Linked DNA regions of Danio rerio. The protein of the gene in region 3 interacts with the protein of the main gene of each other region in a biochemical or structural test. Links are inferred from orthologs where the notes say so. Each region holds a gene or a part of one and is shown on either strand. Other genes may lie near its edges.

Evidence for each region.
Region 1: the proteins of sntb1 (region 3) and asnsd1 interact in a test that uses a peptide from one of them, tested with the Homo sapiens proteins (2 studies listed by IntAct, with this or other methods). The link is inferred for Danio rerio from reciprocal best matches to the Homo sapiens genes SNTB1 and ASNSD1.
Region 2: the proteins of sntb1 (region 3) and rps6ka1 interact in a test that uses a peptide from one of them, tested with the Homo sapiens proteins (2 studies listed by BioGRID and IntAct, with this or other methods). The link is inferred for Danio rerio from reciprocal best matches to the Homo sapiens genes SNTB1 and RPS6KA1.
Region 4: the proteins of sntb1 (region 3) and dgkza form a complex in vitro, tested with the Homo sapiens proteins (2 studies listed by BioGRID and IntAct, with this or other methods). The link is inferred for Danio rerio from reciprocal best matches to the Homo sapiens genes SNTB1 and DGKZ.
Region 5: the proteins of sntb1 (region 3) and cysltr2b interact in a test that uses a peptide from one of them, tested with the Homo sapiens proteins (2 studies listed by IntAct, with this or other methods). The link is inferred for Danio rerio from reciprocal best matches to the Homo sapiens genes SNTB1 and CYSLTR2.
Region 6: the proteins of sntb1 (region 3) and tanc1a interact in a test that uses a peptide from one of them, tested with the Homo sapiens proteins (2 studies listed by IntAct, with this or other methods). The link is inferred for Danio rerio from reciprocal best matches to the Homo sapiens genes SNTB1 and TANC1.

The regions. Positions count from the first base shown.
Region 1 is NC_133184.1:42,813,948-42,816,179, forward strand, and holds part of asnsd1 (asparagine synthetase domain-containing protein 1), read right to left. Parts: coding exon 1,802-2,232; intron 1,713-1,801; coding exon 1,531-1,712; intron 1-1,530.
Region 2 is NC_133192.1:28,642,653-28,646,152, reverse strand, and holds part of rps6ka1 (ribosomal protein S6 kinase alpha-1), read right to left. Parts: coding exon 3,493-3,500; intron 3,360-3,492; coding exon 3,201-3,359; intron 2,259-3,200; coding exon 2,097-2,258; intron 686-2,096; coding exon 609-685; intron 521-608; coding exon 403-520; intron 331-402; coding exon 193-330; intron 1-192. UniProt on the Homo sapiens protein: Serine/threonine-protein kinase that acts downstream of ERK (MAPK1/ERK2 and MAPK3/ERK1) signaling and mediates mitogenic and stress-induced activation of the transcription factors CREB1, ETV1/ER81 and NR4A1/NUR77, regulates translation through RPS6 and EIF4B phosphorylation, and mediates cellular proliferation, survival, and differentiation by modulating mTOR signaling and repressing pro-apoptotic function of BAD and DAPK1.
Region 3 is NC_133191.1:15,526,546-15,530,045, forward strand, and holds part of sntb1 (beta-1-syntrophin), read right to left. Parts: intron 1,814-3,500; coding exon 1,677-1,813; intron 1-1,676. UniProt on the Homo sapiens protein: Adapter protein that binds to and probably organizes the subcellular localization of a variety of membrane proteins. May link various receptors to the actin cytoskeleton and the dystrophin glycoprotein complex.
Region 4 is NC_133182.1:39,301,639-39,305,138, reverse strand, and holds part of dgkza (diacylglycerol kinase zeta), read right to left. Parts: intron 2,606-3,500; coding exon 2,510-2,605; intron 110-2,509; coding exon 41-109; intron 1-40. UniProt on the Homo sapiens protein: Diacylglycerol kinase that converts diacylglycerol/DAG into phosphatidic acid/phosphatidate/PA and regulates the respective levels of these two bioactive lipids.
Region 5 is NC_133190.1:3,203,655-3,207,815, forward strand, and holds the start of cysltr2b (cysteinyl leukotriene receptor 2), read right to left. Parts: upstream 2,801-4,161; 5' UTR 2,528-2,800; intron 1-2,527. UniProt on the Homo sapiens protein: Receptor for cysteinyl leukotrienes. The response is mediated via a G-protein that activates a phosphatidylinositol-calcium second messenger system.
Region 6 is NC_133181.1:13,014,316-13,017,815, forward strand, and holds part of tanc1a (protein TANC1), read right to left. Parts: intron 2,260-3,500; coding exon 2,126-2,259; intron 2,049-2,125; coding exon 1,925-2,048; intron 1-1,924. UniProt on the Homo sapiens protein: May be a scaffold component in the postsynaptic density.

The DNA.
Region 1 (2,232 bases), on a different chromosome or scaffold from region 3:
GATGAAAAAATAATTCAAAATGTCTAAATCAAGTAAAAGTTTGGAGTGCATAATAGAAATAAGAAAATTAGAAATGGGCCTACTCTTTATATCAATGAGTGTATTACAAGTTATATTATTAAATATTCATGTTCATTTTTAAAGTTTTATTTATGTAATAATTCCAGTCAGCTTTTAGTGAACTTGCAATATTGCCAAAAACACAGAACTTTCAGTTGTTATATGTAAAAAGGCCTTAATGCATGCATTTAGCTCATCTCCAACTATTGACAACAGATCACTCAATGAGAAAGAGGGAGAGATTTGCACTTGCAATATCTCACTGCTCAATTTATTTAACCTAAGTAATGTAATGCCTAGAACATCACTGTGCCTCTTACGATCCGTTCTCTTTCTCGTTTACTCTTGTTGCCATGATTTCCAGGTATTAAAACAAATATTTGGGGACCAAATGAATTTGGGGGAGACTCGCAGAGCTTCCAGGAAAGGGCATAAGGTTGGATAAGACCCTAGATAGGGGCAATCGCTCCCCTCGTGTCATGGCAGCTAAAATACTGGAAATACAATGGCTACACTTGGGGCAAAGAGAGCATCACTCGCGCTAGTCGCCCCAATAAACTGTATAAACAGTTCGCACCGCATCTGTATATATTTTAGCTGTTGTGACGCAAGCGCATCGATCGCTTACCTCCTCATGCATCATTTACCTGTGCTGTGGCTGCTGTAGGCTATGTATAATATACGGGAGGACACATGCATCTTCCTTTGCTTGTAAACTCATAAACGCCTGCGATTGGTTTGGTGAGTACTTAAGTCATGAAATGTGTCGACTGAATGTGTCGAATCGACTGATACCAATCTTCAGGCGATCGATTGAAGCATCCCTACAAATTAGGGTTGTTAAAAGTATCGAGTTCAGTAACAATCGATACTGACATTTTAAAAACTTCAATTTCCCGCTAACATTTGAGTGCATTTGAGCACATTTTTAAACACCGCTGATTGGCCATTGTGTTCAAATAGTCAACAGAAATGACTGATTGGCTGTGACGTTCATCAATTCACCATTCTTCATCAAGTGCAAACACAGACACACGGAAACTAGAGCATTTCAAAGCTGCGTAGATTAGCTGATCTGTCTATCAGATGACATACGAGCGATCTGCTTATGGACCGACTGATCTACATGGCTTCGAACTGCCCCAGTGTCCGTGCGTCTGTGTTTGCACTTGGTGAAGAATGGTGAATTGATGAACTTCACAGCCAATCACAGTTACTTCTGTTAAGCATGTGAACATAATGGCCAATCAGCAGTGTTTAAAAATGTACTCAACTACACTTGAATGTTAGCGGGAAATTAAAGTTTTTCAAATGTCAGTACCGAACTCAATACTTTTAACAACACTACAACAAATTTAAAAGAAATCGGCAATGGGTTTGGTCCTGAACAAACAAGTGAATTAATAATAAACTTTTCTTGTGTGAATATACTCTTGTATGTTGTTTGAACTGTTGAAGTGTAATACTTGCCTGGCCTCTTTTCCATGATCCCCAATGATTCGGTCATCTCTTCCAAGATTTCTTGAGGATATTCGTCCCAGTTCCATAGCCAGCTCTCTGATTAGTCCTTCAAGTCCCGAGTGTTTATATCGCACCCTGTGTCTGGAGTAACCCGCCAGCTGTTCGTCTGCCCCGATGCCAGTCAGAACCACCTGTGAAAACAGGAAGATAACATTTTATACAATGTGACCTAGTCCTTGCACACAGACATAACTGAATACAAACAGAGTATTAATGTTACCTTTGCTTCTGAAATATAAAGTTCTTCATCAACAGCCTCATTTATGACACCAATTCCTCTGGCAGCAAACCAAATAGCACATCCAAGGCTGTCATCCAGAACAGTGTCCAAAGGGTGCACCAAATGACAGATGCGTTTCTGTCGCATTTCCACCAGCTCCTCTTGAGTTACGTTAATTTCGATAAAGTTCCACTGGCGCTTTGGACTGAGATTTTTAAGTTCTTGCAGACCTGCTCTTCCTGTTATTCGGTCAGGCACATTAAACGGATTAAACTTCTGCTGATCCAATTGCGTTTTATCAGCATCATCACAGTCAGTCTTCTTATTTTTACCTTTCTTCATGGACTTGGGAGGCATCTTTGCTTCTTGCATTTTGAAAGCAACATTGAGCAAGTCAATGGGCTTGTCTGCAGGAACGTGCCTATCAGTAA
Region 2 (3,500 bases), on a different chromosome or scaffold from region 3:
TATTTTAGGGCTGCACTGTAATCCTTAAATAGAATATTTTACCATCAACCTTCCATGCTTGGCCCTTACATAATTACAGTTTTCTAGAGCACTCTACCCTAAGTTTAGAAGCACCCTCAAAAACTGATTTCTTTCTGGAACCGGGCATGCATGCTGCATATAAATAGTGCAAAATCCTCAAGGCGGGGATACCTTGACAAGCTTAGCATCCTGATGTTGTAGCTGGCTGTTGGGAAGTTTGTCTCTCTGAACGATCCATGGATGTTTCAGCACCTGCCTGGCTGTGAGCCGCTGGTGAGGGTCCACATGGAGCATCTTTGAGACCAAATCCTGTAGAGAAAAGCATGTGTGTGAGAAAACACCTCCCTTCAAAGCAGTCTGGATGAATGGGGATTGGCCTACTTTGGCAGCATCAGACACTGCGTCCCAGTTGCCACCCGTCAGAGTAAAGCGTCCACTCCCTATCCGGCTCAGGATCTCTTCTGGAGTGTCTTCTGGTCCATTGGCAAATGGCGTAAACCTGGAACAAGTAACAACCGAAAAGAAAGTGGTTGTGGATGTGTTGCAAAGATATTTACAAAAATGGAAGTGAATGAGCATCTTCTCACCCAGCAATCATAGTGTATAGTAATACGCCGAGACTCCAAATGTCACAGCCTTCATCATAGCCCTGTCTCTTCAGTACCTGCAAAAGGACAACAGTTGTTACTGAAAAAATTAAAAATCCACATCACACTGATCCCACAGAATCTGAAGTCATTTAGCCAGTAATAATTTCCAATACAGAAGCCAAGATAGTTGTAAAATCTTAACCCTTGTGCACTGTTCAAATTGACTACCCTTTTTGTTGTTAGGGATAAACACATCAACTGAATTAAACTGCTGTAAAATGCATCAGATAAATATGTTTAAAATTTTTTTTTTTTGCATAAAACCTGTTAATCAACTTCAGTCCTGATCAGGACTACTAAATTGTTTTTAAATTTAGATTTTTACCACTAAATTTCCAAATTGATAAATGATGTCACTGATTTGGTGAAAAACCACACAAAATGACATATTTTTAATATAAAAAGTAATTGTGAACTGCATTTTTTAAACCTTTTATTACAGTCTTTGACAAGTGAACGATTAGTAACACATTTGGGTTTGATGCATTGGTAGATTTAAATTTTTTTCTCCCTAATTTACTGTTGGTGGCTGTTGTTGCCCCATTGACTTCCATTATAACCACATTTGAAGGTTTATAAATACACAGTCTTTGTTTTTGTTTACTCCATGTAGTTCTGAGAGCCGAGATGCATATTTTTATTTTCTTGGACACATCAAGGTAAGTGCGTAAAGGTCACTCTCTCACACATGCACGTACACATACAATTTTTTTATTTGCTGTTATACTCCATTTAAACTCCAGGAACTACGTTTCTTTGCAGGCCTATCTAAAGTGTTAATTGTATTAACAGATGGCCAACGGTAAAAATGACAAATTTGATCTCGTCCCAACATGAGAAGCCACCAACAATAAAAAATGCATGATTATGAGGGTGTCATAGTTTTGTAATAAAAATGGTTATAACAGAAGTCAATGGAGCAAAACAGCCACCAACAGTAAATTAGGGAGAAAAAATGAAAATCAATCAAATACAAATGCATCAAAGGCAATGTTGTTTCACATTTCCAAGACTGTGATAAAAGGTTTAAAAAAGGTTAAGATAGGTAAAAAAAATCTAGAGAACAATTACTTTTTATATACATCATTTTTATATAATTTATATAATACGTCATTTTGTGTGCTTTTCACCAAACCAGTGACATCATTTATCAATTTGGCAATTAGAGAGTTAAAATCCTGTAATTTTCTAAGCAATTTAGTAGTTTTAATCAGGACTGAGGTTGATTAACAGATTTATGCAAAAACAAAACAAAAGGGTAGTCTATTTGCCCAGAGTGTATGTTGCGTTTTTTTTAATTTGTTGTTTTTTTTTTTATTCATAGCATTTTCTCAAAATATGTGTCAAAATAAGACTTCTCAACAAGTTTTTAGTGGAATCCCTCTATACAGCATTCCCTGCTCCATTGTGAGAACAACTGCTCACCTCAGGTGCTACGAAATTGGCAGTATAGCAAGGCGTCATGAGGAGGCCATTATCAGCACGAAGCTGCTTGGCAAAGCCAAAATCACAAATGCGCAGAGATTCAGGATTTCCAGACTCATCAACATACAGAATATTACTGGGCTTCAGGTCCCTGTGCACAACCTGCAGGACAAAAGAACTTACATTGAACTACAATGAATTCACAAACAACTGCAAACCTACCTGCCATTTTAAAAATTCAAGAGGCATTAATGCACAGTAAAAAAAAAACTAAGAATTAAATTTAGAGTTACATGTTATTGAATAAATATGTCTCTAATGGGTAAATTACTACATATATATTACCACATGATCACAAATAAAGGATAGCTTAAGGTAGTCAAAGTTTTTATTTTTTTTATAAGTTATTCATTAGCCCCTTTCACACAGAAATACCGGTAAATATCTGGAAAATTACTAAATAAAGTTTACCGGTAAATTCTAAATGTGAATGCGCTTTTTCCTGCAAATCCAACAAATTTACCGCTATTTTCAAAAAAGGCCTGTTCACACATGATCCCTTTCCAGAAAACTGCTGGTTATTTTCCAGAAAAGTCTACATCTGTGAAAGTAGCTAATGTCTTCTCTTTTTGGGAACATGTTTAAATCAAAAGTCCATCTGTCTAACAATCATAAGAAATCCAATAAAACATGTTTAGTGTTGCAAAAGCCCCAGTCACTTTTTACTATAATATTGGGCTAAGATTTCAAGTAAGAGTGTTTTAATTGAATTGAATTGAGTCAACTTTTCGTTTTTCAAACACGGCTATAATGCACTCTATAAAAAGCTACAGGATGATATTTGCCCTAAGAACTCTATCTCTCGTGGTTCTTCTGGGAAAAAAACATCAACACACAATTTATTGAATCACATTAAACGTTGTAAATAGCGGAGAGGGAACAGAGAGGAGTGGAATAGAAGAGGGCACACGGTAGAGCCTTGGGGATCACCCTCAGAAAGAAAAGGAAAAGCAAAGCTGTGAATCATACTAACAAATTCTGTGCTTGTGTCAAGTTAATCTCCAAGATAAATGTGAGTGCATTTGTTCATGCAGGTTTTCTCACCCCTTGAGAGTGCAGGTATTCCACAGTCTTTGTGATAGTGTGCAGCACAGCACTAGCCTCTCTCTCAGAGAAAAACTTCTGCTTGAGGATCCTGTCCAGCAGCTCACCTCCTCGCATCAACTCAGTGACCAGATAGACCTGCTTCCCATTATCATACACCTACAGCACAATGGGTTTTTGTGTTTAATATAGAGTTGTAACCCAGTAACTCTCTGTATTGTGAAATTTGTCAAATTAAAATAATGCAGAATAAATTTTTTTCCAGAAAATAAAATATATTCTGTTGACTTACATCTTTGA
Region 3 (3,500 bases):
AAAAATAAAGAAAAAGAAATTCTGTATATTATATATTCCTTAAAAAATAGATGGTTCAACTCAAGTGGTTATCCCAATCAATACATTAAAATGATATAGCATGTATGCATTTGATATTTACATTTTCCAAGATACTTAAAAAATACCATGGTTATACTAGAATAAATTGCAGAAAGCATATTATTCATATGCTATGTTTTCTAAAACATAATAATTCATTAATAATTATTTCTGTGATGTCAGTATTATGTCTAATAAGACAACAAAAGGGTTAAGGAATATAAGTGCTCAATATTATACATTATGTAAACTTATATTGTGCAGTTTTGTCATTCATTCATTCATTCATTCATTCATTCATTCATTCATTTTCCTTCAGCTTAGTCCCTTTATTTATCAGGGTTCGTCAGAATGGAATGGCTAACTTATCCAGTATATGTTTTACACAGCAGATGCCCTTCCAGCTGCAAACTAGTACTGGGAAACACTCAAACACACTTGCATTCACACACGTATGATGAACATTCACTGTTCTCTAGTCTACGGCAAGTAGATTGCAGGTTTGCACAGGAAATTTGCCACTTCTATTAAAAAAAGATGCAGTTCAAGTTAGTGTTGATTTTTCTGTCTCTACAGATTTGGTAAGTGTGTGATCAATGTTCTTTGTTTATGTTTATTCAGATAGCAAAGTAAGTTAGTATCGTCAGCAGTACTCTTTTAGTTTTAAAGACATACCTTAGTCAAAATGATTTAGGCACTATGTTTACAGTAATATCACAACAATATTATAAATTAAAAATCCTCCACTTCCACACAGCTCTCAGATCTTCTGTAAACACTGTTCTCCGAATCACTGTCTATCTCCCCTGCGTCTGTGTTTGTGTTGCCGGTGTAAAAATCAGCTGCTGTGCATGTAATGAAACTCCCTTTTTCATGCAAACCCTTCCCTCTTTTGCCACTCGACACTCCCACCAAAACAAAGATGGACACCCACTTTCCTTTTTTCAAATTAAAGGTGTAAAAACACCCTGCTGGTAAAAAGGGGGGGTTGGTGTTCATGGCCCTTTAACAAAGCATTAAAAATCGTCCTAAAGGACAAAAATAAATATTAAAACAACTTCTGAAACCACTAAAAAAAGTGGACAGGCACTGTGGCGTTCTATATCCCAGCGTGGGATTTTCTCCAATGAGCTTTCACCATTGGCACAGCTGCCCGACTTGACAGAAACTTGAGATTTCACAGAGCAAGTCGAGCCAAAATAAGTTTAGAAAAGTTCTGAGAAACAACAAAAAAAGCCTAGCTACGCTTTCTGCCAGTTTAGGGTCAACAAAACATTAACACATGCCAGCAGAGGCTGTGATAACTGCCCTATCAGCTTTGGAGTGAGATTCGGGCTGTAGTCCAGCTAAAATTGGACCTCAAATCTTACTCTTGTAGTAATAGCTGCTGCTCGGACGGGCATTTAAAATGCAATTTTACTGTTTCTTTCCAACTGGCTGAGGAAGATTGCAGTTGTGCGTTTCAGTTCCCGATTGGTCATCTCTGCCAGCTGGCATGCAAATGTGTATTTGCATGCGCTTGTACAGAGGCATGTGTTCAACAGAAGTGTGTGCTGTGATTGTTTTTGTATGAATGAGCAGTACGTCTGTGTGTGTGTATGTGTGTGTGTGTGTACCGTGTGGCGAGCAGAGGGTAGGTGTGTGTCGGGGTGAGCCAGTGTTCTCTCATGCGTGGCATACTGTCAAACAGCAGCAGATCTTTCTCCGTCAGCATCACGAGCACCGGCTTCCAGCTCTGCCTTTCACTTTCCGTCTGAAACACAAAGACACAAAACCTCAATTAGATACCGTGTAATTACATTTGATCATATTTCTCCTTGTTATTTGATCCTATTTTTCCATTCTCATTTTTAGACACTAAAGGAACAGTTCACCCAAAAAAATTAGTTTCAGACCTTTGAGATTATTTTACTTTATATTTTATATTGGAAAATGGTACCTGTTGACATCCATGATAGGAAAATGAAAACTCTATGGAAGTCAATGTCTACTTGATCATAACTTTAAACAAAAAAAACTATTTTTTACTACTATAAAAAAACATAAATTTGGAACAAGCTAAGGATTATGAGTAAGTTATGACAGTTTTCTTTTTGGGAGTCCTTTCATTTTACATATTTTGTTAATCTGAGAGATATGTAAATAAGCGCAGGTCAAGCAGTAAACCTCTGGGCTGTTTCTCTTTTAGGAAAACTTCATGTAACTAGTCGGAAAGTCAAAGCCAGAGTATAAAAACTATTGAGCCTCTTAAACTGTAACTGATTCATCAGCAAAATGAGCACTGATGTAACATGCTGAAAGCCATTTGCAACTTTTAGATGACCTCAAAGAAACAATGTTACAACATGTTTAAAGCGGTCATGTACTGACTATATAAAATCCCCTTGATCTGCTGACATAAGAGGTCATTGTTCTCTAAAAAACATCCTGTACTTTACCGAACTCAATACTTACTAATCTAAACAGTCCAATTTTATCATGTAATAGTGTGACACTCAATATATATTCAGACAGACACAAAAACATAACAAATGCCATATGTTGTTGTTGTTTTTATTGCAAAGATAGCCTAGATCAGTGGTCACTAACAGGCAGATCAAGGTCCATGTCCAGACCCAGAAGCATCCAATACAGGTGCAGACATACAGCAGGTCTGTTACTTCAGTCCCACTCCTGCTGGGTGTTCTTTCGCACCGATCCCTTCTGCTATTCACACTGTTTACCCACTGTTCCTGCTGAATAAGAAAGAAGAGCCGAACGCTCTCTCTATGCTTAAGTTTCGTTTACTACGATGGTGTCAAGTGAAACAGAGCTCTCTAGAATCATAATAAAGTCATATAGAAGTAAAATATATCATAAATATCATAAAGAAAAATGCACTGTTGCCTTGGTAATACAAGCATAATGTAAACAGAAGTAATCAATACTTTAAAAGTGCTCAATTATTAAGATGTGTAGACATAAATATGTAAAATATGTTATGTGTTGACATAAATATGTAAAATGTAAAATAGAAAAAGTGGAAATTTAAGCCTATTTTCTTAAACAAATTATTAGAACATACATTTTTCAAAATGCCCTACTTTTACTTAATTAACATGAGAATATGCAAATCTACAGTCATATGTGTGGGGCTGTTGCATTGTGAGGTATTTGACACCCAATAAATATGTTTATTGTTCTTTGAATTGTTCTGTAGGCATTTTTTTTTTCTAAGCATAGCACAAACAGTGCCATACCAAAACCTTGACTCTAAAACCATGATACATACTGTACCGTGAGTAAATTGAACTGTTGCACCCAATATATATATATATATATATATATATATATATATATATATATATATATATATATATATATATATATATATATATATATATATATATATATATATATATATATATATATATATATATATATATAATTTTATAATATGT
Region 4 (3,500 bases), on a different chromosome or scaffold from region 3:
CTCATAAATATAGTGTGAATACTTTTGTGATTTTACTCACCTTTCCACACTGTTTGCATTTGCCCTCTTGTCTTCTCCGATGGACCCAGTGGTGTCGCACTATTGCAGGCTGCCATAAAAAACAAGACATAGGATCATACACCCATAAAATATGACATTGTTGTGGGGTTATGCTGTGGGCTATAAAGACTGAATCTGATTTGGTAGCATGAACAAGAGGAGACAGCTGAACAGACACCATGAGAACAGAAAACCTCTGGAGATGCAATTAAAAATACTTAAAGTTGAATGCCATGATGAAGTGCCTATACGAGTAAGTGCAAATGTATGCTTAAATTCTTGAGGGAGAAACACTGCAGACATATTGTTCACATTTAAAATGAGGATTGGTTTTCATGGGGTTCAAATTATTTTGTATTACTAAATAAACTGAAAAGGATGACACTTGTTAGCATGTTAGCCACCTCCAAATTGTGAAGTTTCAGTAGCAACAACTAGGGCTACAAAATACATTTAAGAGTACTCCCCATTTTTTAAATGAATATTTTTCTCCATTTCTCAGTGAATATAGGCAATGCATTTTAGTGCATTTAAACAAAACAGATTTATTAAACAGATATATTTATTTATTAAAATAATATTTTAGTCACCAAAGATATCTAGAAATTGAAAGACATTACAATTGAATTCAAGCAAACTATTGCAAAAAAAATTCAACTCATAATTTCAACTAAATTTTTTAATTTTTTGCTTCTCTTGTTTTTTCCTCTCATTTTAAACTTGTATATAATATTTTTTATAATATAAAATTTGGCTGTACTAGTTTTTGGACCATTATTGTAAGTTATTTTGTTAGATTAGCTCCAGTTTTGGCTTCAGTACCGACTAATCAACTGTAATGTAAATGCACAAATTTAATATTGTATAGCTTCCTATTAAAATATGAATTTAGAAGATACGTTTGTGAAGGGTGTATTTATATATGCAGAGCTCTGTATGCATGATCTGTATCGCAGAAAAGTGTAAAAAAAAATCAATGATCATTACATTTACTAAAAAAAACATAAAAATCGTTTTTAAAAAGAGCATTTCTGTAGGGATATGTAATATTGCAAGACATATTGTTATCGCAATCCTCAACGAAATTGAATATTGCATATTTTTTTCAATAGCGTGCATTCCTAGTGACCACCCTTTAAACAAGGGAGTGAACTACATAAATAATGGTTTTGTTTGATTGTGCAACACAACTTACAACCAAAATGATTAAGTTTAAGTTTATTATTGGCTATTAAATTCTTAACTTGTTCTCTTTAAAGGGCAACTATTTTACGCCTTTTCAAGATGTAAGATAAGCCTTTGGTGTCTCCAGAATGTGTCTGTAAAGTGTCAGCTCAAAATACCCATCAGATCAGTTATTACACACTCCAGAATCTGCCCATTTGGTGTCTGAATACAGTGTAGCTGTTTTTATAATCTGTAGCTTTAAACACAAATGAGCTGCTTCTCCCCGCCCACCGTTCGCACGTACATGTCTGCTTTTCATCAGGCGCTACGTCAGATATACAGCACAGTGACAGACTCGGATAAAGCTAAAATACTGCTCATTAGTCAAAAATACCAAGTATGTTTATTTTATGTGTTTGTCATGGAGTTTATTCAAGCCTTTCTGAAATGACGAGTATCACACAAATGCCGTTTGCAGTACACACACACACACACACACACACACACACACACACACACACACACACACACACACACACACACACACACTAGCGTTTACAGACACCATGTGGCTGTGATGATTATAATGGTTAAGAATTAGATATCGATTTTACTGTCTTTATTACACACATGCCGGTTTAGAAAAAAAATGGTAAACTTATAAAAAATCACAGAAATATGATTGTAGACACTATACATACAGACAGTTCTTTCCAAACAGCTTACAAAAGTTGATTTTCATCATAGGTGCCTTTAAATTTCTTACTCTATACACAAAGAACAGAGACTTTTAAATGTATTAAAATGTCATGAACAAACACTTGTTCAGTTGAGCCGTGTGCACACAGTCAAATGTTTGTAAATGCTCACTGTTGCAAAATTTGGGAGTTAATTTGTTGACTGATCAATAAAATGTGAACTGTTGACCAAATTTAGCTGCAGTGTGTATTGCATAACATAATAAAGAATTAATAAAAAAAAGAGCAATTAAATGGCAGTATAGGATTTTAATAAAACTCTGCTATATTTGCTGAAAAACCCTTTTTATTTGTTTTACTTTTAAAATTAGTAAAATTTTGTGAAGTTTCTAAAATATACAGTATTCGTTTATTCTTGTGAGTGCATTTGTGAGTCACCATCTATTTTTATAATGACAAAAACAATTTTTACTTAATCTTATTGTGATAACTGTAATAAAAAAAATGGAAAATTATATAAGTCTTCATTTAGATAACCAAGTAAAAGTGTCATCATACAGTAGCTGCGTAAATGTGTGTGATACCTGTGTGTTAGAGGTGTGCGCAGTACATTTAGCTGCAGCACCTCTCATTTGCTCCAAAGCACAGCGACCTCTGAAAGCTCTGCGTCGCCAGGTTTGCTAACCCAACAAAGCAAGATGGGAACAGGAAGAGACAGGGCATACCGAGGAGCAGAAGTGCAATGGAGAGATAGGGATGAAGAGATGAGGGATGGATTACGGCAGTGAGAGCGACATAAGGGATGTGGAAAAGGAAAACAAAGGGTAAAACGGGGTGAAATCAAGATTTAAACAGCAAACAGCAGCAGCCCATGCAGTGTGTGTGTGTGAGTGTGTGTGTGTGTGTGTGTGTGTGTGTGTGTGTGTGTGTGTGTGTGTGTGTGTGTGTGTGTGTGTGTGTGTGTGTGTGTGTGTGTGTGTGTGTGTAAAACATCTGGGGTCATTCCGACAAATAAAGAGCTAAAATTAAACTCACAAATAACTAAAATCTAAATCTTAAAGTGTTGTTCAGTTGAAGTCAGAATTTTTTTTTTTTTTTAATATTTCCCAAATGATGTTTAACAGAGCAAGGAAATTTTCACAGTATGTCTAATAATATTTTTTCTTCTGCAGAAAGTCTTATTTGTTTTATTTTGGCTAGAATAAAAGCAGTTTCTAATTTTTTAAAACCCATTTTAGGGTCAAAATGATTAGCCCCTTTAAGCTATTTTCTTTCGATAGTCTACAGAACAAACCATCATTATACAATAACTTGCATAATTAACCTAACCTGCCTAGTTAACTTATTTAACCAAGTTAACCTAGACCTTTAAATGTCACTTTAAGCTTTATTGTAGTGTATTGAAAATTATCTGGTCAAATATTATTTACTGTCATCTTGGAAAAGAAAAATTAAATCAGCAATTTAAAATGAGCTATTAAAACTATGGTAACACTTGATTTTGATGGTCCATTTGAGTATTTGTAGACGGTCTAATTAATATCTGTTGATACTGCTGCTAAACAGACATTTAAC
Region 5 (4,161 bases), on a different chromosome or scaffold from region 3:
ACTGATCTTTCATAAAGAATGTGTTGTTTCATTTGAAGAAGGTTGTTTTCTTTTATGAGAGAAACAAAAAAAATCAACCACTTGAAAATTCTCGGTTTCTCTGGATGTACTAGGTGTGGGATTCAGGAAAATGGTGATTGTTTTAATGTATGATGGTCTGATTGTCGGGACTCTTTTGTTTTGGTCTTGTTAATTCTCCAGTCTTTAATGCAGTGCTCGGCTCAAGTGTATACCACAGTGGGAGATGAAAGTATTTTGAGGTACATTTGACCTGATGTCAAATGTATGGTGGAGTTCTGCCAGTGTGCTTTTCACCTTACATACTGGCAGATTCACTATGCACCTGCCTCCTGAGAATGTCAGCAGTGACCACTCGCTCCCCCAGTGTACCCTTCAGTACCGAAGGGCCCTCTGTTGTTGGCTATAGCCCTATAGTGCAACTAGTTTCAGCTTCAGCTCAAGAGTTCCCCCCAGTGTCTGCGTCAACCCCAGAGTGCCCTCAATGTCGACGTCAGTCCTAGAGTGCCCGCCGAGGTTGGCTTCAGTCCCTGAGTGCCCTCAGTATCGGCTTTAACCCAGAGTGCCCCCAGTGTCTGCTTCAGCCCCAGAGTGCCCTCAGTGTTGGCTTTAGCCCCAGAGTGCCCTCAGTGTCTGCTTCAGCCCCAGAGTGCCCTCAGTGTTGGCTTTAGCCCCAGAGTGCCCTCAGTGTTGGCTTTAGCCCCAGAGTGCCCTCAGTGTTGGCTTTAGCCCCAGAGTGCCACCAGTGTTGGCTTCAGTCCCTGAGTGCCCTCAGTGTCGGCTTTAACCCAGAGTGCCCCCAGTGTCCGCTTCAGCCCCAGAGTGCCCTCAGTGTTGGCTTTAGCCCCAGAGTGCCCTCAGTGTTGGCTTTAGCCCCAGAGTGCCCTCAGTGTTGGCTTTAGCCCCAGAGTGCCACTAGTGTTGGCTTCAGTCTCTGAGTGCCCTTAGTGTCGGCTTTAACCCAGAGTGCCCCCAGTGTCTGCTTCAGCCCCAGAGTGCCCTCAGTGTTGGCTTTAGCCCCAGAGTGCCCTCAGTGTTGGCTTTAGCCCCAGAGTGCCCTCAGTGTTGGCTTTAGCCCCAGAGTGCCACCAGTGTTGGCTTCAGTCCCTGAGTGCCCTTAGTGTCGGCTTTAACCCAGAGTGCCCCCAGTGTCTGCTTCAGCCCCAGAGTGCCCTCAGTGTTGGCTTTAGCCCCAGAGTGCCCTCAGTGTTGGCTTTAGCCCCAGAGTGCCACCAGTGTTGGCTTCAGTCCCTGAGTACCCTCAGTGTCGGCTTCAACCCAGAGTGCCCCCAGTGTCTGCTTCAGCCTCAGAGTGCTCTTAGTGCTGGCTTCAGCCCCAGAGTGCCTCACAGTGTTGACCTCAGCTCCAGAGTGCCCTCGGTTTTGGCTTCAGCCCAAGAGTGCTCCCCAGTGTCTGCTTCAACCCCAGAGCGCCCTCAGTGTTGGCTTCAGCCCCAGAGTGCTCCCCAGTGTTGGCTTTAGCCCCAGAGTGCCCTTAGTGTTGGCTTCAGCCCCAGAGTGCCCTCAGAGTTGACTTCAGCCATCAGAGTGCCCTCAGTGTCGGCCTCAACCCCAGAGTGCCCTCAATGTTGGCATCAGTCCCAGAGTGCCCTAAGTGTTGGCTTCAGCCCCAGAGTGCCCCAAAGTGTTGACTTTAGCTCCAGAGTGCTTTCAGTGTTGGCTTCAGCCCCAGAGTGCCCCAGGGTGTTGGCTTCAGCTCCAGAGTGCCCCCAGTGTTGGCTTCAGCTCCAGAGTGCCCTCATTGTTGGCTTCAGCCTCAGAGAGCCCTCATTATTGGCTTTAGCTCCAGAGTGCCCCCCAGTGTTGACTTTAGCCTCAGAGTTCATGCAGTGTCTGCTTTGGTTCCAGAGTGCCCCCCAGTGTTGGCTTCAGCCCCAGAGTGCCCTCCAGTGTTGCCTTCAGCCTCAAAGGGCCCCTGAGTATCCACTTCAGGCCCAGAGCCCCCCCCCCCCCGATGTTGGTTTCAGACCAAGGGTGCCCCATAGTGTTGACTTCAGCCCCAGAGTTCCAGAGCATCCACTAGTGTCAGCTTCAGCCCTACGTGCTGTTAGGCTGGTTTTAGCTGGTCAACCAGGCTGGTTTTAGAGGGGTTTTGGCCCCTTTCAGGCTGGTTACCAGCCATTTCCAGCCTGGTCTTAGTTGGTCAGGCTGGAAAATGACCAGCCTTAACCAGCTAAAACCAGCTTGACCAGCCTGGTTTAAGTTGGACATAGCTGGTTTTGGCTGGATAAGCTGGTTTTAGCTGGTCACCTCCCAGCCTGACTAGCTAAGACCAGGCTGGAAATGGCTGGAAACCAGCCTGGAAGTGGCAAAAGTCTAGGCTGGTTTAAGCTGTTTTTTCCAGTAAATAAACAATTTTATTGAACATGTAATTTTTTATGTCTGTTCAAAAAGTAAGGGTTAAAGTGAAGGATTAACCAGTGTATCATGTATTTACAGTATAACGTTACCGATATTAGCAGTTAATATGTGGTTTTGCTGTAGTCACCATGTCTTGTAAGGGAAGTTTGAAATCCTGTGTCGCTCAAATCCACCCATATGAGACACTGCCAGCTGAGAGAGGACTGAACATCCACCTCAACTCGCAGACATGCAGAATTGACGCTTTACTCCACCATCTCCATCCTAATCTGCCACAGGAATGAAGACCTTGACGATTCATTTAACACGAGGTAAACATTCAGAGTTTTATTTGTAAAACTCGACGTGAGACGGATTGACACTTCTCCGTGACGTCATTCTCACTCGGCTAACATCAGCTAGCAGCTTTACCCATTCAAACACCTTTAGTTGTGTTTAGTTAATTTAACAACTTTCGTATACATTCGGGTGGTGTTATCTGACATGTTAGCTTGAGCTTCGTGCAGACTCGAGGACTGTTTTCGTCTCTGCAAGCAGTGGAGGTGTTATGAAAATAAACGATAGTTAGCTTGTTAGCTAACTAACAGCTGAATAATAATAACGCGTCTTTGTTTACACATGCACTCATTAATGCGTTTAAAAAGTACTTAGATGTTTTACAGCTAACGTTACTATTAACGCAGACTTTGTTTAGTCACACGTTGTTTGGTTTGTAATGTTTTATTTAAGCTAATTAAACTTTGACAGCTATGTTATTTCAGTAAAACTTGACGTATTTAGATGAAGTTATTATATTTACACAATATTTAGTATTATAAATAAATCACATTAGCAGCCAATGACTAGGAAAGTACACCATGCTAGTGTGATTTTAATGTCACTTTGCATGCGAATTCAGACCCAATATTCAAAGTAACGTGGTAAACAAGTACGTTTAATATATAAGTTGTCACTGAACGAATGTGGAAATACAAAACCAACCATACCTCAATATGTCACCTGTATTGTGTTTTTATTGGCTTTTCACTTAAGATAAAGTGCTTTAAACAGGGTTTCTGCTTGGTTTTTAAATGTCTTTAATCTCAAAATTTAAATGTTATGCCGTAAAAGTCTTAAAATAACTGAAATATTGTGTTTTAGGTCTTAAATCTTTTTTTAAACCGGTCTTAATTTTCCTTTGTTCATTTATAGCTACCAAATCTGGCCAAAACCCATACAATCACCAACAATCATCTCAATAAAACTTTTTATTTATAGAATATAATTTTAACTCTATTTACCGGTTTAATTATATTCCTAACAATAACATTCGTTTAAAAGATCTCTATCTATTTACTGCTGAGGAAAGCGACCTGGACAGATTGTTGTATATATTTAGTTTATTCATTCATTCATTTTTTTTTTGGCTTAGTCCCTTTATTAATCTGGGGTCGCCACAGCGGAACGAACCGCCAACTTATCCAGCATATGCCATTCCACCCCCAACCCATCTGTGAGAAACATCCACATTCACACACTCATACACCACAGACAATTTAGCCTACCCAATTCACCTGTACCGCATGTCTTTGGACTTTGTAAAAAAATGGAGACACCCGGAGGAAACCCACACTAACGCAGGGAGAGCATGCAAACTCCACACAGAAACACCAACTGACCCAGCCGATGCTCGAACCAGCGACCTTCTTGCTGTGAGGCGACTGCTATTTAGTTTATAATAGTTGTTAAAACTTTTTAAAAACATTTAATCTTTTTTTAATT
Region 6 (3,500 bases), on a different chromosome or scaffold from region 3:
AATGGTCCAAAAACAAATGCGTCAGAGGTCACAGTCTAGCTAAGAAAAACGCCTTCATTTTATTCAGAGACACAAACAAAGGCAGAACATTTGGTGCAGTGGCTAATAAGATCAAAAAGTCTGATCAACTGGGTTTCTGCAGGTTTCAAAGTCAAATTTAAAACCTTTTTAAGACCATTATGAATGAACTTTCAGACTTATACAGAGCTAAACACTAAGGGCCCTATCATACACCCGGCGCAGTGTGATGTAAGGCGTGACGCAGTAGTCTTTTAGTAGTTTCAGCTTGGCACAAGAGTCGTTTTGAGGCGTTGCGCTACGCTGTTTAAATAGCAAATGCATTAGCGCTCATTTTTGCGCCCATAGGCGTTCTGGTCTAAAAATGAAGCCGTTCTGAGGTGGACCGCTGGCGCATTGCTACTTTAAGAAACTATAATAGATTTTTTATTAGACCAAAACTAACCCGGTCTAAACTCCGACGCAGAGTTGCGCCTCGCTTACACACTGCTTAATACGCACAAGAGAGCAATAGGCAAATATCTTTACATATGAAAAAATATAAATATTAAGGATATATATAGTATATAATAAGAATAGATATAGGACATAAATATAAAGGATTAAAATATTACAAAACATATTATTTTCTAGCCTACATAAATATGAAAAATCACTGCTTTTATGTCTTCTTCATCTCGGGAGGTTTTTTCAGTTCATTCATAACAATTTGCTTTTGTATAATGTTATTATTATTAGCAGTATTATTTAATATATCCATATTTATATTTGTTTTATTAAAAACAAGCTTAGATTTGCCCACCTGTCAGGTTTTAGACCATATGGGGCACAGCATGTGTTTTAGGATATAACTCAGGTTTTTGAGCACATTTTGTTATTATTATTCATTTATTCATTTGCTGGAAATTAGAACTGAATTTAGAAATAGTTTTGAAACAAATATTTGCGCTTAACAAACAAAAGTATTTATTTATAGACTAATTGATGTCTGTGCGTAAAGGTTTCCCTATCCAAGAGCGAAAGTGAAAGTGATCCATTATCTCTCATTCTCACGCAGTAGATGCTCTGTTTAACAGTTTTCTGTTAAAAAACTGTTAACTGTTTGCTTGTGAAATGCTCATTTTTTCCACTTACACTTACTTTGCGTTCTGTAAATAGTTAATGCGCTCTTGGCGCGACGCAGCTGACTCTTAAAGGGAATGGGAGATGAGACTCTAATTGGTTTATTCCTAAAACACACCTATAACTCATTAGGAAAATAAACTCAACCCTTTTAGACCATGCGTCGAAGCGCAAGGCAGATTTCCCGTCCTTAAATTAGCAAAAAGCGTCCTGACACGCCCTGAAAGCGGCACCGTCCAAAAAATGGACCGTCAAAATAGAGCCCTAAGGATTTTTTTCTTAAGGCTTAGTTTGGGAAACAATATTTTTACCAAACCCAAACTCAAAGTAGCCAGAAGTCATTCATTTTCAGTGAGAACCGGCGGCGAGGATAGTAAAATCAAGTCAACTTTTTGGTATGAGCTATAATGCGGTTCGGTGGCAAGCAATCAGAATGAAGTAGTCCACCGCTTGAGAGGTGTTCAGAGAACACAGACCTGTGAACTTTGGTTCCGACCACAGTTGTTCCCGAGAGTTTGATTATTGCGGTTGCCGGATTTACAATTATTAAAAATCGTGATGACGCAGGGCCCCCTAATCATGCGGGCCTGTCCGCTACGCCACTGACAACATAAATGTAAGGAATTATTATTATTATTAATTCCAGTACTTTTATATACAATTCTTAAGCAGGAAAGAGAAATTTCCACAACATGTGTAAACTCTGATGTTAATAACTGAGGTCTTTTTTATGATCTTATTGAGTTGCGGGTAAACTAAGGACTCCCATGCCCCAATCACTGACCCTTTGAGAGCAGGAAGTCCACAGTCTCCAGGTGTCCCTCACTTGCAGCCACCATCAGTAGAGAGCGACCATGTTTATCACCGCAGTTCACATCTGCACCGCGCTGAAGAAACAACTCTGCAATCTGCAAATACGTAAAAGAGATGAGTGACGTCAATGTAAAATTGGACTTTTTTTTAAACGTGTAATAAAGGGTCATACTTGTGTGTGTCCATGTCGCACTGCATTAAAGATGGGTGCAACCCCTCTGCGGTTTGGCTGTGTTACAATGGCACCTTGATCCAGCAGGAACACACAGCCCTCCTGTTTGCCCCGTCCAGCAGCAGCTGTTAGAGCTGAGGAAGATGTGCATGTTAACGCCTGTCAACATGGGAAGCTGTCACTGCATCCAAATTATATAGTTGGCAAAATACCATGTGACAAACTCAGTAACACTTTTACTTTAAATGGTAACATGTGAATGAGATTTTATGCATGCTTATGACAACTGTCATTACTGTAAGTGTCATTCGCTTAGTTATGTCATTTTAAATGCAAAGGTAAAGAGATGTCTTTGTAACAACAACTTGACATAACCAATACATCATAACCTTTCTTTTTCTTCTTTATGACAACTTGACATTATCGAGACAACATAACTTGTCATAAATCTGTCATAAACATGATTGTCATTAGTGGGGATGCAACAATTAACCGTTTTAAATATTAACCGTGCTTTAATTCATCACGGTTAATTAATCGTTAAGGCTTCTTAACACCGCGTTTCTACATGGAACACAACTGCTGTAACTAAACAAAGCTGTGCCGACTGTGCGCTAGTTTGAAGTTCCGAGCTTGTACACTGAGGCTACATATGTTCTCTTTAAAGGAAAATATTTACATTTACATGATTAAATACTTACAATAGATTTACATTAAACAGACAAAAAGTTTTTATTTATTCTTATTTTTATTTATTTATTATTGTTCAGTCACTTATTTTCAGTGTAAAATTACTTGTGTTTAAATGTCGAAAACTCTTTTTTTTTTTTACTTTACCAAAGAGAAATGGACTATTGTTTGTTTTATTATTATTTTGTGTTGTATTTGTGTTGTATTATTTGGTTACTAAGCTGCAATAATAACACTTTAAAATATAAGGAGTTATCATGGGATTTTTTAAACTACTGTTTTGAAATGAATAAATGGATAATAATGATGATTATGCCTCAGACTATAATCGTACAACCAAAATCTATAATCGCATCCCTAATCATAAGGCTATTATAATTGTCATGAATTTCATAAAAAGCATCACTACTATTTTTTCTTGACCTCAACTACAGTGGTAAAAATGGAAATTTAATGACACTGTTATAAACTTATTTAGCACTTTTACTTAGCAGATTTAATCACAAATTCAGTTTGTCCCTTTGAAAAATGTAAATAGGTTATTATTCATTATACAATTACAATAGCCTCATGACATTCATGTTCATGACAGATTTATGACAAGTTATCCTGTCTTGGTAATATCAAGTTGCCATGACAAACACTCAAAAAATGACTTCTGCTGCTTGTTCAAACTACTTATTTA